Linked DNA regions of Saccharomyces cerevisiae S288C. The protein of the gene in region 1 purifies or fractionates together with the protein of each later gene. This does not show direct contact. Each region holds a gene or a part of one and is shown on either strand. Other genes may lie near its edges.

Evidence for each region.
Region 2: the proteins of DSC2 (region 1) and UBX3 purify together in Saccharomyces cerevisiae (affinity purification with western blotting; 5 studies listed by BioGRID, with this or other methods). This does not show direct contact.

What each region holds. Positions count from the first base shown.
Region 1 is NC_001147.6:193,142-196,652, reverse strand, and holds DSC2 (Dsc2p), read left to right. Parts: upstream 1-1,852; coding exon 1,853-2,821; downstream 2,822-3,511. Other genes in the region: succinate dehydrogenase assembly factor SDH5, read right to left, coding at 1-146; THP1 (Thp1p), read right to left, coding at 316-1,683; YOL075C (uncharacterized protein), read left to right, coding at 3,111-3,511.
Region 2 is NC_001136.10:292,918-296,517, reverse strand, and holds UBX3 (clathrin-mediated endocytosis regulator UBX3), read left to right. Parts: upstream 1-1,758; coding exon 1,759-3,126; downstream 3,127-3,600. Other genes in the region: RAM1 (protein farnesyltransferase), read left to right, coding at 189-1,484; RNA-binding signal recognition particle subunit SRP14, read right to left, coding at 3,297-3,600.

The DNA of each region.
Region 1 (3,511 bases):
CTCGTCACCACATCGTCGTGGTCATCTTTATCACTACTAAACCACCTACGACCGCACGACCATGCAGCGGACCCTGTTTGAGAGTTGATAATCTTGTAGCCTTGCAACGACAGTGTCTTTGTGAGTGCTGGAAACATATTGTGCATTTATGTGCTCCTTTTTAAAGTGTACTCCCTTTTTTCCTCCTGTTCTTTTTTTACAAATTTCGCCTTTCTTATATATCCTAAATATACTTAAAATCTAGTCTCTTATGAAATCTGTAAGAAACAGCATAATGTCGCTCCTTCTCTTCTATTTCCTATATATATCTACATATCACCAAAGAACGTGAGAATGGGCAGGAAACATCTTGGTGATTCGTTCATTAACCGGCGGAACAATCTCTTGTATCATTGTAGTCTTTTTCACTACACACAGTTGTAACTGTGGGAAACAGTTTGCGCGTAAAAGTCCCAAGTTAATCAGTGTCACAAGTACGTTTTCGACGTTCTTGGGGGAGTGAATGCCATTATAAATGGTAATTTCCTGGGCGCCGGGATCCTCGAATGTCGGACCAATAGATAGCTGTAGTACCCGTTCTATCAAGGAGTACGGTAATTTGTTCTGACCCCATTCGGTGGTCCAGGACTTTATTACCGTTTTAATCAGATTTCTGTACGTTACCATGGGCAGTTTCTCTAGGAGCACGATCAGTAACTGTCTTGCACACAAATGACGCTCGTTTTGTCTCAGCCAGAGACTCACGCCTTGAATATTCCCATAACGTACGTGTTTGTAGAGAACACTCCAATTATCAATTGTTTCTTGGGAAAGGAACGGTCGCAACGGTCCCCATTTGACCATCTTTCCCAGTATCAGCCCTGTAGGGATCATGTAATTTAGTATTCTGGTGCCATTCCTAGTGATCGCTTGGTTCGTTAACGGCAAGTTCAATAAGGACTGGAAAGCTTCATTGAATTGAACGAAGGCATTATGTACTTGAGAGTTCAACAAGTAGTACCTTCCTAATAGATATCTGTATTCTATTTGCTGGTCGAGCTGGTATTCGTTGAAATGTGCAAGCATGCTTTTTGGCTGAAAGTTCTTAAAGATATTGGAACATAATTGCGGTGACTCGATCCTGAAGTAGATGTTATTTAGTTTATTGACCAGGTAGAGCAGTATTCGTTGTTTTCCAGGTATATTTGTAGAAGATGCGTTACCTCGTGGAGGTTTGATGCTGTTAAATAGTCTTGATAGGATGGACGATATATGTGATAGAAATTGGTGACTTCTCGTATGCAGTTGCAAGTGGAAAGAGTCTAGTTTCCCAGCGAGATTGATGATAAATTCTGTTTCTCTAGTTGCTACTGGTATCAACATTTCTATGTGAGGAGCATTGTCGTTGATGAGACAGTTGATTAAACATTGATAAAACTCAAAAATTAGATCCGAACTGGACCAGGCTGACCATGGGTCGACATCTCGGGCATAATTTAAAAAGGATGTACACATGATTTTGAATCTCGTATCATTGGGCATAGCCGGGTGTTGTTCTACAAACGTTTCTAGCTGTTTATCATCAAATCCGGTCAATTGCTTCTGTAAGATAGCAATTTCCCTACCATTTTGGGACAAGTTTAGCGTTAGGTGGGAAAAATTTCCATGTGCTAATTCATCTAGCAACTGGTTGGCCATGTCCATTGCTATCTATCCTTTTATCCCTGCCCTGTTTCTTACTTTGAATGCCATTGATGTGAAGATGGTTTTTTTTTTTTGGAAAAGTATAGAAGAGAAATTTGACGTATAAACTTAACTATTAAAGGGAGAGAAAGTCAACGACATAAAAAGCAAACACAATAGTCTACAAATAATGTCTATGGAGCCTCCTGTGGGGCTTACGGCTATGCCCGTCACCAAGCTAGCCATGATCACGACGCTTGTGGTTCCCTTAGTTGCCTCGATTGCAAGTTACAAACATATATTTCTATTGCAATATGATCCTTTTCTGCAGACCTACCATCAATACTACCGTCTGCTCATATTCCAGTTCTGCGCCATCAATGAATCCGATACAGTAATACTGGCGTTGATATGGTATCTGTTTAGGCATTTAGAACGGCTACTAGGATCCCACAAGTACTTGACCTTGATTGTTTTGTCATGGGCCTACACCACCTTAGGAATTTGGGGATTGAATCTGATCTGGAACGCATTTATTGGACAGTACAAGTGGCTTCAATGGAACAATTTTAGTACAGGTTCACTGCCCATTGTTTTAAGCTTAGTACATTTTTACAAAGAATACACCCCTCAGATTTACGAATGGAATATAAGATTACTAGGACCTCGAGGAGGAGCATCAAGTCACAATGATAACAAGCGAGAAGACAAGAGCGCCGTAGAGTGGAAAATCAACGATCAGTTTCTTTTAAATGGGTTAATTCTCCTGCTTATATTAAATCAGGGGTTTGCAGGAATACTATGCGGATTCATAAGCTGGATGTGTGGTATTTTCATCGATAAGGGCCTGTTACCGGGATTAGACCATTGGAGAATACCGTTTGTATCCTATTTCATCTCTCAAGGCCCACCCACGAGGGCTAACGTTGCTATAGCGGCCAATGCGGCCACGAATACAGCAGCAGCAAGAGCCACTGTAGAAGCAGCTACTGCTGCTACAGGAAATGGAAATACAGGCAACTCTGGGCCTACAAGCCTACCGCTTCGTGGTTCAAGCACCACCCCTACAAATACCTCTAGCGCTGGTGATGACGAGCCTGGTGCCGATGAACCTGCAAGACCACTGGGAGTCCAATTTTTGGATACCTTTAGGAGATGATTTATATCAGCATATACCTACATAAACAAATAAACATAGCAACGGTTTAGCAACATCGTTTACAGCCATGTGAGGCAGTTACTTCTATCATATGTCTGGCTTTAGTATTGTTGGGTTGACACTTATACGAAATATCAGAAAGTGAAAAAAAAAAAAGGAAGGATCTAGTGATGAGATAAACGAATTTGTGATGTAAATGCAGAAGTAGGCACAAGTGCTTGGCAGTTTTCAAACGATCATCGTATTTTAAGCTACAATCACCAACGCCAAACATCCACTTGCAGCCACTATGTCACAGCAGGAGAATGGTGATGTGGCCACTGAATTAATCGAAAATAGACTTTCCTTCTCAAGAATCCCTAGAATAAGCCTTCATGTAAGGGATTTGTCAATCGTTGCATCCAAAACAAATACGACGCTAGTTAATACGTTTTCCATGGACCTGCCCAGTGGGTCGGTCATGGCAGTTATGGGTGGTTCGGGGTCAGGGAAGACTACGTTGCTGAATGTTCTGGCATCCAAGATCAGTGGTGGGTTAACTCATAATGGTTCTATACGGTACGTATTGGAAGATACAGGTTCAGAACCCAATGAAACAGAGCCTAAGAGGGCTCACTTGGATGGCCAAGACCATCCCATCCAGAAACACGTAATAATGGCGTACCTACCTCAACAAGATGTACTCTCTCC
Region 2 (3,600 bases), on another chromosome or scaffold:
GGTCTTGAAGCGAAACTGTTTAACATTGTAACTTATTAATCTTTTCGTATAAGCTGTTGCCTGATTAGGAAAGCTTGAAACTGAAACACGCGAAAGTGGCTAGGATAAACCAAGCAAGGGTCCATATCATCGCCGTTCTTATGCAGAAACAACTGCAGTGCTTGTAAAGCTATAGGCAATCAAAGCGTATGCGACAGAGAGTAGGAAGGTCCATAGCTAGGGCTAAATTTATAAATACTGCCTTATTAGGAAGAAAGAGACCAGTTATGGAAAGAGTCGTCGATATAGCGCATGTAGATTCAAGTAAAGCAATCCAACCATTGATGAAGGAACTAGAAACCGACACTACAGAAGCACGATACAAAGTACTACAAAGTGTATTAGAGATATACGATGATGAAAAGAATATAGAACCTGCTCTCACGAAAGAGTTTCACAAAATGTACTTGGATGTCGCTTTTGAGATATCGTTACCTCCACAAATGACAGCACTAGATGCTTCACAACCGTGGATGCTATATTGGATTGCTAACTCATTGAAGGTAATGGACAGAGACTGGCTTTCAGATGACACCAAAAGAAAAATTGTAGATAAGCTCTTTACTATTAGTCCTTCAGGAGGACCCTTTGGTGGAGGTCCTGGCCAATTATCTCATTTGGCCAGCACTTATGCTGCAATTAATGCTCTCTCCCTTTGCGATAACATAGATGGATGCTGGGACAGAATTGATCGAAAAGGAATTTACCAATGGCTGATATCGTTGAAAGAGCCTAATGGAGGATTCAAGACCTGTTTAGAAGTCGGAGAAGTGGATACAAGAGGTATATACTGTGCCTTGAGCATAGCAACCTTATTAAATATTCTTACAGAAGAGCTTACAGAAGGTGTGTTAAACTATTTGAAAAATTGTCAAAATTATGAAGGTGGATTCGGCAGTTGTCCTCACGTAGATGAGGCACACGGAGGCTATACTTTCTGTGCTACAGCTAGTCTAGCAATTTTAAGGTCCATGGACCAAATAAATGTTGAAAAGCTTTTAGAATGGTCTAGTGCTCGTCAATTGCAAGAAGAACGAGGATTTTGCGGAAGGAGCAACAAACTTGTTGACGGTTGCTATAGTTTTTGGGTTGGAGGTTCGGCTGCCATTCTTGAAGCTTTTGGATATGGCCAATGCTTCAACAAACATGCTCTTCGGGACTACATATTGTACTGTTGCCAAGAAAAAGAGCAACCTGGTTTGAGAGATAAACCAGGGGCCCACTCAGACTTTTACCATACAAATTATTGCCTATTAGGACTGGCTGTTGCGGAAAGTTCATACAGTTGCACTCCTAATGATTCTCCACATAATATTAAGTGTACTCCAGACCGCCTAATTGGATCATCGAAACTTACTGATGTCAACCCTGTCTATGGTTTACCAATAGAAAATGTAAGAAAAATTATCCACTACTTTAAATCCAATTTATCTTCTCCAAGTTAACCACATACTATTATATATATGTATTCAATCTCCTTAGCGGTCAGTCTCTTTCCAATTTCTTTCTCTTTACGTTATCATTGTCCTTTATTCGACACTTCGGCGACCGCTTTTAAAACGATAATAACAAAGCGAAATCTTATTGTAACACATCCTTGCTTAATTACATACGAAGCAAAAAGTGAGAGTAAGTTCAAAAACAGCGGGCAATCGTACTCCCAAATTTTGTTGTACCTCATCAATCGGCTTGACTGCGATTTAAACATACCCTTTAAACATGGATATATTTAGGCATACTTTTGGAAATAATGATGATTCCTTTATTCGAATCCCAGGTGCTTTTAGAGAAGAACCACCTGCTGATTTGAATGGAAGGACAGAAGATCAAAACAGCAATACAAATGAACCCACACAGAGCCGGGATGGACGCTTAAAATCAATACTCCATTTTTTATTTCAAGCTCCCCTAATAGTTCTTTATTATTTATTGAATTTCATTGTCCGAAGTTCACGTCTTTTAAAACCTCTATTAAGACTTCACGGATTCTACCAGAGGAAGCACAACCGTTTACTAGACCACAGTTCCCAATTACACCGTCTTTTAGAAAATCTAGAAAACGAAGCTCAAGCTGTAACGTGTTCTGAAGGTAACGGGAATAATGATGATGGCAGCAATACTGACAGTACGAGCAACAATGAGAGCAGTGGGGTCCAGTTTAGTTTTGGTTCTTTATACAACCCTGAAAATGGAACATTTTCCAAAAGCATTATGCAAAATAGTTACACTGAATTATTGGATGCTTGTAGCGAACAAGTGAAATTTGGAGTCATTTATTTACATGACCCATTGTTGGATAATCATATGGATTACGTTAATAAAATATTGTGCTCAGAAGCCTTTGTTAACATGATAAGGAAGTACCAGGTATTACTATGGTATGGTGACGTTACTACATCCGAGGGGTTGCAAGTTTCCAATGCATTAAAAATTAGGCAATATCCCCTACTTGGAATAATTTCTTTAAAGGCTGAGAAAAAAATAGAGTTAATAGCAAGAGTTGAAGGTTCTATTTCTAACTACAAAGCCCAAGATTTGGAGGCCATATTCTCCAAGAATTATTCTCGATTAATTCAATTGCGTCAGCAAAGACAAAATATTGAAATGCAGAGATTAATAAGACAACAACAGGATTCAAGATACCAGGATTCCTTAAGACGTGATCAACAAAGAGAATCAGAAAGATTGGAACAGACCCAAAGAGAACAAATGGAAAGAGAGCACCAAAGAATAGAAAACCAATGGCTATTGTGGAGAAAAAGCCAACTAAAACCCGAACCCTCTTCTGATAAAGATGCAAGCAAAGTTGCGATCAGACTAGAAAATGGGCAGAGATTAGTGAGAAAGTTTGACGCATCTCTACCAACGGAGGAGATATATGCCTTCGTAGAATTACAGTTGCATGACATGTTGAACTCAGAAAACGATACTTTACCCGTATACCAACCTGCTAATTATCAGCACCAGTATAGCTTCAAATTGATCACGCCGGTACCAAGAAGAGAGCTTGATTTATCTACCAAAATATCTGACGTTAGCGGCATATATCCATCAGGAAATATTGTAATGGAACGCCTGGACGAATGAAAGGAATTTCAAAAATAGTCATCTCAAAACGTTTATTCTAAAGTTTAGTTAAATTTATATCTACACAACTTTATGCAATTAATCTTTTATATCTACGTTGCCATCCTTTAATCTACACATCCAAAGATAACAAGAGGCGCACATGCCTTTTGACTCAAGTGTCACGTGCATCAGTTTTTCTTCGCTACCTTGTTTTTCTTTCCTGTCTTACTGATGGTACCGTTCTTACTCTTCTTTTTCTTCTTCTTGATCAAATTCTGCATGCCCCCCTTAAATACAGATGAATACTCTTGCCAAAATTGATCTAACTCACTTGCTTTTACCACTGTTGAGCATTTTGTTTTCTTGTCATGCGAGCCATAAGACATTCTGATTAATAGTGGGTATTCTCTGTCAGATCTTGAGCTAACTGAAATTTCAGAAGCCTTTTTAGATACATCATAGTCAGGATGGTTGGTAGAATCAAATTCAAGA